Linked DNA regions of Oryctolagus cuniculus. The protein of the gene in region 1 interacts with the protein of each later gene in a pairwise test. Links are inferred from orthologs where the notes say so. Each region holds a gene or a part of one and is shown in the gene's direction. Other genes may lie near its edges.

What was found.
Region 2: the proteins of NUDT3 (region 1) and ASB13 interact in a two-hybrid assay, tested with the Homo sapiens proteins (2 studies listed by BioGRID and IntAct). The link is inferred for Oryctolagus cuniculus from reciprocal best matches to the Homo sapiens genes NUDT3 and ASB13.
Region 3: the proteins of NUDT3 (region 1) and RPLP1 interact in a two-hybrid assay, tested with the Homo sapiens proteins (2 studies listed by BioGRID and IntAct). The link is inferred for Oryctolagus cuniculus from reciprocal best matches to the Homo sapiens genes NUDT3 and RPLP1.

Annotation. Positions count from the first base shown.
Region 1 is NC_091436.1:135,069,469-135,073,115, forward strand, and holds part of NUDT3 (diphosphoinositol polyphosphate phosphohydrolase 1), read left to right. Parts: exon of another isoform or gene 1-152; coding exon 153-197; exon of another isoform or gene 198-1,203; coding exon 1,204-1,288; exon of another isoform or gene 1,289-3,647. UniProt on the Homo sapiens protein: Cleaves a beta-phosphate from the diphosphate groups in PP-InsP5 (diphosphoinositol pentakisphosphate) and [PP]2-InsP4 (bisdiphosphoinositol tetrakisphosphate), suggesting that it may play a role in signal transduction.
Region 2 is NC_091444.1:79,539,174-79,542,820, reverse strand, and holds part of ASB13 (ankyrin repeat and SOCS box protein 13), read left to right. Parts: intron 1-1,255; coding exon 1,256-1,390; intron 1,391-3,647. UniProt on the Homo sapiens protein: May be a substrate-recognition component of a SCF-like ECS (Elongin-Cullin-SOCS-box protein) E3 ubiquitin-protein ligase complex which mediates the ubiquitination and subsequent proteasomal degradation of target proteins.
Region 3 is NC_091443.1:92,101,967-92,105,713, forward strand, and holds the start of RPLP1 (large ribosomal subunit protein P1), read left to right. Parts: upstream 1-1,200; 5' UTR 1,201-3,075; coding exon 3,076-3,147; intron 3,148-3,454; coding exon 3,455-3,529; intron 3,530-3,747. Other genes in the region: kinesin-like protein KIF23, read left to right, coding at 139-154. UniProt on the Homo sapiens protein: Plays an important role in the elongation step of protein synthesis.

The DNA of each region.
Region 1 (3,647 bases):
GGACACACAGGTAGGCTGGTGTAACCTCCACACCTGGAGTGCACCCCACCTGTGTCCTCTGGTCTTTTCTTTCTGTTTTACAGACTGCTCCAGAAGGCTGCCATTAAGGCCCGCGGGAAACAGTGTGTTAATTTTTCCCTTTCATTTTTCAGGCTGGAGTAAAAGGGACATTGGGAAGACTAGTTGGAATTTTTGAGGTAAGTCTTCTACACCTTTTGGTATAAATGTATGTTAATATAATAACCACATATATCCTAATTGAGGGAAGAGGCCATCTCTGTCACCTGTGTAAATGCAGAAGCACCATCAGAGGATAACTAGCATTCTCTCTTCAAATCCTGCGGGCTTCTCCTCTAGACAACTGGAATAATTTGCTTTACTATATAGCCCATTCCCACTTTTCTATCTCTGTTCCCAAGGTGGGAGGAAAGATAGGTAAGTGTCGAGAAAAGAGGAAAATTAGCAGACACGGAGCTGTCGCAGAGGAAGGGGGATTTGAAATGAAGTGGAAGGCGTGGGAGACTGTGGGATAAAGATGAGCAGAGTGGTTTGGAAAGAGGGCAGTGTTCAAGACACTTGGCTTGTCGGCCTCGATGGCGGCACCACGCCGTCCCTACCCACTGTCTCACTGGTTAAACGGACGTGCTGCTCATTGAGAAGTCACAGTGTTCATGTGAACCTGCAGCTGGAGGAAGGAGAAGGGAGAATGAGTATAAAACTTCAGCTCCAGAAGTGGGCCAGAGAACACACCCTGAATTCATTCAAATTGGCCGAGAGGCAGGCATCTGGTGCAGCTGTTAAATCACTCACTGCTCAGGATGCCTGCATCCCATGTCACGGTGCCTGATTCTCGGCTCAGCGGCTCAGCTTCCTGTTCAGCTTCCTGCTCGTGTGGCCCTAGGAGGCAGCAGGTAATGGCTAAAGTCCTTTGGTCCCTGCCACACAGTAGAAGACCTAGACTGAATTCTGCACTCCTGGCTTCAGCCTGGCCCCCAGCCCCTGCTGTTGCAGGCGTTGGGGGAGTGACTCAGCGAGTGGAAGAGCTCTCTCTGGCTGCTGCTCTGTCTCTGCCTTTCAGGTGAAATGAAACTGAAGAAATGGGCCGTGATTGTAGGGCAAGATAAAGGAAGAGGAGTCCTGTGCCTGTGCTCTAGACAGTGTGGTGACCGTGTTACATGAAAGTAATCTCCGCTGTCCTTTCAGAACCAGGAGAGGAAGCACAGGACGTATGTGTATGTGCTCATTGTCACAGAAGTGCTGGAGGACTGGGAGGACTCCGTGAACATTGGTAAGTCGTCACCAGAGAGGCCCACTGAGTCCCAGCACCAGCCCTTGCCTCACTTTAGGTCCTTCCCCAAGAGCCTGGTAACAGAAGAAATAACACAAGGCTGTGTGTGGTAAAGCAAGCGTGTATGTATTTTGAACTTGAGAAGCTAGTATTTTGAAATGTGTGAAAGGAAGCTGTGTTGGGTACATTGTCAACAAATAGAAACATGGCCCATAAAAGTCGAGTGATTGTTTCTGTTATCACAGTGGATCATCTCTAGAGGGTTCTGCTTTGGTACCTCCTGGGCAGACATGGACGGAGGGCCCGCTCACTGCCAGGAGGTGAAGCAGGACCCTGGCCTTACTCCTCACGGCACTCAATCATACTGATACAGAAAACTCTTGGATGGCAGCCCTGCCCTCAAAGGCGATCAGTAGATGTAAGGTGGGAGGGGTCGTTTCCAGTTTTATTCCTGGTACCTGCCCTGCAGGGACACCCAGCTTTCTCCTGAGGATCCATTTTCTCTCAGACCACTGCTGTGTGTCTGTCCTGAACAAGCAGCTGAGGTGCTGTATGGTTCACTCATGTTTTGATTTTTTGCCTCTGAAGCAAAGTATGTTCTAGAGCAGCATAATTGCTGTTAGAAATTGGCAGGCAGAGGCCAGCGCCGCGGCTCACTAGGCTAATCCTCCGCCTTGCGGCGCCGGCACACCGGGTTCTAGTCCCGGTTGGGGCAGCGGATTCTGTCCCGGTTGCCCCTCTTCCAGGCCAGCTCTCTGCTGTGGCCCGGGAGTGCAGTGGAGGATGGCCCAAGTGCTTGGGCCCTGCACCCCATGGGAGACCAGGAAAAGCACCTGGCTCCTGCTTTCAGATCAGCGCGGTGCGCCGGCCGCAGCGGCCATTGGAGGGTGAACCAACGGAAAAGGAAGACCTTTCTCTCTCTCTCTCTCTCTCTCTCTCTCTCTCTCTCTCTACTCTGCCTGTCAAAAAAAAAAAAAAAAAAGAAAAAAGAAAGAAAGATTGGCAGGCAGATAAAATTTGTTCACCAAAACCCTTCCTTTATTATTAGTATGCACTTTGCTGCCATATACCCCTCCTGCTGTTAACATGGATGGTTCATAGCTCTTCTTCTCCTAATGGCTTTATACCTAATAATAATGCGGTATGCTTAAATAAATGCTTTCAGTATGGATATACTGAAAATAAACTCCTTGATAACCAGTGCTGAGGGCTGGAAAGGAGGCAGAAATGAATACAGTGTGGTCCTGTCCTCAGGTCAGTCTGTCTGGCAAGAACCTCACATTCATAGCACTAATTTTTAAGGCACCAGTTGCTCTGTTACTATCCAGTGGGAGAGTAAGCCTTTGAGCTTCCTTCCAAATGGCCTTCCTGGAATTACCCTTACTAGAAAAAAAAAAGGGGGGGGGGTCTTAAACATACAACACAGGGCAGGCATTGTGGTACAACAGGTTACGCTGCTGCTTAGGATGCCAGCATTCCATATTTGAGTGGCAGTTCGAGTCCCAGCTGCTCTGCTTCTAATCCCGCTCCCTGATGCTAATGTATCCTGGGAAAGCAGTGGAGGATGGCCCAAGTGCTTGGAACCCTCTCACCCACGTGGGAGACATGGAGTTCCTGGCTCTTGGCTTCAGTCTTGTCCAGCCCTCACTGTTGCAGCCACTTGAGTAAAGCAGTGGAGGGGAAATCTCTCTGTCTCTCCGCCCTCTCTCATTCTGCCTTTCAAATAAATAAATAAATATTTTTTTAAAAAAAGAGTCTTGGGTGGTCTTGTGGTACAGCAGGTTAAAGCCCCGGCCTGCAGTGCTGGCATCCCATGTGGGCACCAGTTCAAGTCCTGGCTGCTCCACTTCTGATCCAGCTCTCTGCTGATGCGCCTGGGAAAGCAGCAGAGTATGGGTGGCCCAAGTCCTTGGGCCCCTGCACCTGTGTGGGAGACCCAGAAGAAACTCCTGACTTTGGATTGGCTTGGCTCCAGCCGTTCCAGCCATTTGGGGAGTGAACCAGCAGATGGAAGATCTTTCTGTCACTACCTCTTCCTGTAACTTTGTATTTCAAATAAATAAAATAAATTTTTAAAAATAATAATAAAAGAGTTATATAGAGCTACATTAAAATAGTAAGTTGAGAGTCTGGCATTGTGTTGTAGCAGATTAAGCATATGGGTGCCGGTTTGAGTCCTGGCTACTCTACTTCAGATCCAGCTCCCTGCTAATGCACCTGGGAAAGCAGTGGAATATGGCCCAAGTTCCAGGCTCCTGGCTTCAGCCAGGGCCATTGCGGCCATTTGGGGAATGAACCAGCAGATGGAAGATCGTGTACTGTGTCTCTCCTCGTGCCTTTAACTCTGCCTTTCAAATAA
Region 2 (3,647 bases), on another chromosome or scaffold:
GTGTTTAATTTAAGTACTCCTATGTGGGATGTGAGCCTCTTAACTGGCATCTTAGCCTCTAGGCTAAATGCCTATCCCTGTAACCTCTATTTTGATTGGTATTTGGATGCATTTCTCTGGGATGTGGGGTGTGAGGTATGCCTTCCTCCTTGGGGCCAAATGGGGGTGTTCCTCCCTACTGCCTTACCCCTAATTTTCTCAGTGATATCATCTTTTGACACTGCAGGATTGTTGCTGAGAGGTCTTAGAGGTTTTTGAGCTGGTATTGAATGACAAGGTAGCAAAATATTGAAAGGTTATTTTAGCAGCCATCTGTATAGAGACAGACTAAAGTCATGGTTGGGGAAATATCTTGGAAACAGAAGGATGAGGTTGGGCCATTGTAATGATCTATGTACATTGTACTTAGTATCTAAAGTAGGATGATGTTGTGGTATGGATTCCTTTACAAGGTTTGGGGGAAGAGTCAATAGGATTTAGTTGTATCAGAGAAAGGCACAAGTGGTTAAAAATAACTTGAGTTTGAGCTGGGAGTGATGCCGCTGGCTGAGAGGAATTGGCCAAAAGCAGAGATGGTGGGAGAGGAAAGAGGACTGTAGTAGTTGAGATATCCAGAGAATAGCCAGTTTTAGATGTGGGGCTCAGTTTCAGGGTTAGAGGTAGAAATTGGGTAGCTACCAATAGTGAAGAAGAGATGAGAGGATAGGCCTGGGGCAGAATGTGCCAGGAAGAGAGGCAAGAGGACACCAAACTTTGATCCATGCTGCATTCAAGACACAAGAAGCCAAGCCAGGGAGAAGGTGGCAGCCTCAGTATGGCTAGAGGGCAACCCTTATGTTGGTGGGAAAGTCCAAGAGAGTTCATCCAGGAGGCAGGATTGGGATGCCAGCAGCATGTTGTCATCATGGGCTGGACACTCCCCAGATGCAGTGCAGGGGCAGCCAGGACTCTTCTGTGTCCATTCCTGGAGAGGGTCCCAAATCTGTTCTCACAACACAGCCCTTTTGTCCCTCTGCCATGTAGGCTGTGAAACATCCCACTTCTCAAGAGAAAGGACAAGACAGCTGTTCCTTGGTTCCCTAGGGCCACATGGGGTCATAAACTGCTCCTTCAGTTGGGATATATACATTGTTTCCCCTCATGTTCCCTGCAGCCAAATTCAGGCTGATTTAGAGCAGCTGCTGTTTCTGTCATGCTTACTATGTCCAGTCTATATATCCATGAGTGTTTTCCATCCTTTTCCATTTATTTTAAGGGAGTTCCGAATGTGTGAGACTTCTTATTGACGTTGGGGCCAACCTGGAAGCACACGATTGCCATTTTGGGACCCCTCTACATGTAGCCTGTGCACGAGAGCATCTGGACTGTGTCAAAGTGCTGCTCAATGCAGGTGCGTGGGTGTTTACCTGAGCTGGTATTTACCTATGTGGGTGAGAGCCAGCTGTCAGGATCAGACAGACCAGGATTTGAATGTAGGTCTCCACTTGCCAGCTGAGAGCTTGGGTCTCAATTTGTATGTCTATAAAACTGGAAAAATAAACTCATTTTGCAAGATTGTTGGAAGGATTTGTGATGATGTTTTCCCTGGCCCTTCTGTGTAGTTTGTGCTCAACAAATGTTAATGATTATTTCTGGGGGAATCAAACAACTGTCTGCTTGATAAGGCTGCTTTCTGAATCTGAGAGATGAGGAAATAATGGGAAAAGGAGTCTGCTGTGTTTAAGAGAATGGAGCTTTTGGAATTGAGGGTGTCCAAAAAAGGCTCAGGATAGAGAGATTGCCAAGATGGGGAAAAAAAACCAAAACATTCAGCCAACTGAAGGTTAGCGACAGGATCTGCCTACATCAGATTTAAGATGTTGCCAAAGAGAATATTGGCCAAGGGTTTTAATAGGAATCAAATTTAAAATGTTTGAGGGAAAATTGTAGCTCAGCCATTTCATCAGTGCTGACTGTTAACCTAGGATAAAAAACAAAATGTTCAGAAACAGAAAGATATGAGTTTCCCTCAGATGACAGCCATTTGAGTTTAAGTAATGTGGAGTTTTCTTTTGGAGGCTCTTACTTAAATGAGCCATTTTGGAGTCTTGCAGTGGAAAGATTAATTTTGTGTAAGGCTTGTTAAGGTTTCTAAACATTTTTATACCGTGATGAGATATCTTGATTAGAAACAGACATCAGTCTTCAGCCAAGCTCTCCTCTGGTGGCTGGATCCATTTGTGCCAATGTGGGGCAGTATTATTACTGTTGTGCTCCATTCACTCGGTACATGCAAATTCAATTTTTTCTTCAGTTTCTTTTTGTGTGACTGCAGGGAAAGAATCAACTTATTGTTTTAACACAACGTCCTTTCTGTATTGTTTAGGACCTTGTATCATTTGTGACTCCTTTGTAAGGAATATTACATCTATTGCACCTGAGTAAATAGTGTATTTACTGTTTAAGGATATTAATTGGTATTAAGGATATTTATTGGTTCATTTAACTTAAAAGATGAGAAGTAGAGACGGTTTAGGGTCAGCCTGACCTGCTTTTTCAACAGTGTCACCAAGTTCTCCCTTTCTTTGATTTTTGCAACTCTACTTTTCTCCATGATAGCTTTACCCAGGCCTGGCTTAGGAGGAATGGTCAGACTTCACTTTTTGAGGCTCTGATAATTTTTTTAAGATGTATTTATTTTGAAAGATGAAGTGATAGAGAAAGATCTTCCATCCACTGTTTCATTACTCAAATGGCCACAACTGCCAGAGCTGATCAAGGCTAAAGCTAGGAGCTTGGAACTCCATCCAGGTCTCCTGTGTGGGTGGCAGGGCCCAAGCACTTGGACCATCTTCCACTGCTTTCCCAGGCACAGTATCATGGAGCTGGATCAGAGGCAATGCAGCTGGGACTCAAATAGGCATTTCCATATGGGATGCCAAGTCACAGGCAACTGCTTAACCTGCTGTGTCACAATGCCAGCCCTCTTTGACAGACTGGAAAAATCTGTCCCAGATGTCTTGGGCACACCTCCCCTCATGTCCTGTTGGCCCGAGTTGGACCCTAATGTCCAAACCTAAACAGAGGCTTTGGCTTGAACTTTTGCCACATTCTGATTGGCTTACATGGGCCATGCCCCTAAGCAAAACAAGTGCATACAGGTGCTTTCACAGGTGAATCAGAGAGGGCCTGGGGACTTCGTCAGAAGCTGAGTTGTGTTGGGGACTTCGTCAGAAGCTAAGCTGTGTTGTGCTCCACAGGATGGACACAGAGGTGGTTGTTCTTTTTGTTTCCTTTGTAGGCACTGAGGCCAAATCAAGGAACTAGGTTATATTTGCAAAGGAGGAGGGCTAGGGAAGGTGAAAGTCCAGTTATTAAGGTGAAGTAATTTTTAATCTAATCACTAGTAGTAAATATTTAACTCTGCTGAAAATATTCAGAAGTAGTGCTGTCATTATGCTGCCTTTCTCTCAGCACAGTGCTTATCACAATTGTTTTACAGTTTATTGTTGCAAAAAGCATGTAGTGGGCTATCTGTGCTTATTCTGCTGGCTCCTGGCATACTAAAGAGTATCAGGGAATCCCTTCACCTTGCCAGCCATGATTTTGCTTTGAATCCACTTTTATCTCACGTTGCTTTGAAATCAAGATTTTGGTAATGAGCCAAT
Region 3 (3,747 bases), on another chromosome or scaffold:
TATCTTACATGCTGTTTCCTTTCTCAGGACTTGAGTTTTCCCATGATAAACAGAGCTCAAAGCCCTACAAAAGATTTCTTTTACTACAAAGGGGTCACCAATTGCAAATTCCACACTAAATGTTGGGTTTGGTTTTAGGCGCAAGAAGCCATGAACAAGACAGCCCCAGTAGCGGCAGAGCGTCGTCACTGTTGCTGGTGACTGCTCCGAAGCCACGGAGAGCAGCCTCCTGCGGCCTCGCTGGACGTCCCAGACCTCAGCCCTGTCAGACACTGGCCTAGAGCAGCGCTTCCCTGATGGTTCCAAAGACACGCAGCAGTCAGCAGACCTTGTATATTATGTGCCTCACCGTATTTAATATTCCCAGCAGAGCAAGACCCCGGGCTCATTGCTGTATGGACTTTTTATAATGCTGTTTCTTGTATATTTCTTATGGACTTATAAACTAATTCACACAGCTGTTTGTCTTGGTATAATTAAGGTAATATCTAGATCACGCTTCGTTTTTTATTGTGACTTCTCCAGCTCTGGTCTGAGTATTTCTTGGGTTTTATAAACGAAACAAATGCTGCTATTGATTAGCTGCAAGAATGCACTTTAGACATATTTGACAATTGAAACTTTCAAAATAAAGATATCGGGACTGGCCCATAATAAAACCATTTTCAGAAGGTGTTTTGCATTTTGTATATATATACTCACTTTCTGACATTTAGATATGCCAAAAGAATTGAAATAAAAAGCACTCAGAACCACAGAGGTGTGATGGTCATTCATTTCACACACACACTAGCCGCAGCAAGCACGCGTCTCGCTTTCACCTGGCACTCTTCCTTGTGAACTGAATGAGAAGAAAGCCCTGGAAAATGCCCACGGGAAGTAATCTGTTAAATGGGAAATGCCTTTTTTGTCTGACAACCATAATTCCTACAGAATAAGTGCGCTCTCCCAGACATTTAAACAGAAAACACAGTTTGGCACAAAACAGAAAGCACTGTGGAAAATCCTGGTGAAATAGCTATTCTTGCCTGAGTGAGCCTGTTTGCTTGTTAAGTTTGCATTTCTTTTAAGGCTGAACTTTTTAACATGATAGTTTGTGCATTTTTAAAATCAATATTGAAAGGATGATATTAGTCCTGACCAAAAGCAGTTTCAAAGGCTAAGGAGAAAGACAATCCACGTGTCACTCAAAGTGTAATAGGAAAATTACATGTATTTTTAGAATGCTTCCTATTTCAGTAGAAACTCCAGGATTTTTCACTTATTTCAGAGGCAGAGAGGATTCTCAGGTACTTGTTCTGTCACCTGTTGCCAACCAATCCACTTTGGATTTGTAAAACTATAGTTCTGACACTGCCAAGTTCCCATGAAGGTGCGTTTTTTGGGTTTCTATTCTATTCTGATCCATGCATCTCTAGGCATCCCAGTAACACTTTGAAACATTGATCTAATATATACTTGCGCATCTTCTATGTGCCATGTTTTGGGCACAGGGATTGCAGTGGTGAAGTTTGTGTTCTTGGATTTTAATTAAGTCTGTCTGCTTTAAAAAATCGTCCTGGTTATTACTGGCCTTTGATCCTTACATTTAAAATTTAAGGTCAGCTTGTCAGATTCTATTGAAAACCTTAATGGAATTTTGATTGAAGTTACATCATTAGAATTATCGACTGTAGGATCGTCCCATCATTCTTCTAAGGTTGCCTTTGATGGTCCATAAGGTTTTTAAATTCATTGATCTGAAACGCAGAGTTACAGAGTGACATCTTCCATCCACTGGTTCACTCCACCAATGGCCACAACCGCAAGGGCAAAGGCAGCCAAAACCAGGAGCCAGGAGCTGCAGGGTCTCCGCGTGGGTCCAGGGGCGCAAATACTTGGGCCATCTCGCTTCTTTCGCAAGGAGCTGGATGGGGAGTGGAGGAGCCTGGACTCAACCAGGGCTCAGGGGTGCGGATGCCACCACAAAGGTGGCCTCTTCATAGTTTTCAGATTTTAAAAATGATGGTCACGGGGCCGGCACTGTGGCATAGTGGGTAAAGCTGCCACCTGCAGTGCCGGCATCCCATATGTGCGCTGCTCCACTTTCCATCCAGCTCTCTGCTGTGGCCTGAGAAGGCAGTAGAAGACGGTCCAAATGCTGGGCCCCTGCACTCGTGGAGGAGACCTGGAAGAAGCACCCGGCTCCTGGCTTTGGTTTAGCACAGTTCCAGCTGAAGTCAGGAGCCAGGTGCTTCTCCTGGTCTCCCATGCGGGTGCAGGGCCCAAGCACCTGGGCCATCCTCCACTGCACTCCCGGGCCACAGCAGAGAGCTGGCCTGGAAGAGGGGCAACCGGGACAGAATCCGGCGCCCCGACCGGGACTAGAACCCGGGGGTGCCGGCGCCGCAGGCGGAGGACTAGAACCCGGGGTGCCGGCGCCGCAGGCGGAGGATTAGCCTAGTGAGCCGCGGCGCCGGCCCCCAGTAAGGTTTTGATGGGCACCCTTTACTAGGATATGGAAGTTAGCCTTTATGTTTCCCACTTTCCAAGGCTCTGGGGAAACAGCTGTTGGGTTTCAGCGTGGTTTCTCTGACTGAAAGTTTTCGGAGACGTCGCTCCTTAGTTCGCTGGTGTAAGATTTTCACGATATATACCCTGGGTATTAATTCACCGAAGGGCCGGGACCCGGCTCAAACGCTCTCACACCGGTGCGGGGCGCAGTCAGCCGCGCCTGGATCCAGTGAGCATGTTCCCTCTTCCTAAACGCCGTCCCGGTTCGCCAGACCCACGCTTCGGCCAGGTCCGGAGAGCCGGCATCTCGCAGCGGCGGACAAACTCCCACAACGAGCTCCGCGCACAGCGCAGGCGCGTACGTCACCCCCCCTCCGTCCCGCCCCTTCCGCCCTGCACGGGCGCCGATTGGCTCGAGCGGCCGTATAAGAAGTTGTGCGCAGGCGCACAGCCCCCTTTCCTCAGCTGCCGCCAAGGTGCTCGGTTCTTCCGAGGAAGCTAAGGCCGCGTTGGGGTGAGGCCCTCACTTCATCCGGCGACTAGCACCGCGCCCGGCAGCGCCAGCCCCACCAGCCCCGCACCATGGCCTCCGTCTCCGAGCTCGCCTGCATCTACTCCGCCCTCATCCTGCACGACGACGAGGTGACCGTCACGGTGAGTGCGGGGCGGCCGGTCCACGCGGTCCCGGCGTCCCTTCCGGCGCGGCGGGCGGGCGGGCCGGCCCCGTGCTGGGCCGCGGGCGGGCGGGCCCCCGCGCTGGGAGGCATGGGGGCGGCACGGGAGCCCTGCTCGGCGCCCCCGGCCTGGCCGCGTGACCCGGGAAGCCCTGGCAGAGCCCGGGCTCGGGGCGCGTCGCGTCGCTGGTGGCGGGCGCGGGTTGGAAGTGGGCGTCCGGGGGGGAGCGGGGAGCGTGGCTGTGCCCCCGGTGGTGCCCCGCTAGCCGGCGCTCTGTCGGTTTCAGGAGGACAAGATCAACGCCCTCATTAAAGCAGCTGGCGTCAACGTGGAGCCCTTCTGGCCTGGCTTGTTCGCGAAGGTAAGGCCGACTGGACCAGGTCAGGAGCGCTTGTCCCTACGCCCCAGCCCCCTAAGTAAGCTCCGGCTGGTCAGACCCGGCTCTTCGTTCCTTATCAGAAAGCGAGAGGAGCGCTTGCTTTCCCGGACTCCCGTGGGGCGCTGGGCTTTGCCGGCCGCCCGTGTTCCAGGCCGATGGAGACGGGGCCCCTGGCCGGAGCTGGTGCAGGCCGCTGAAGG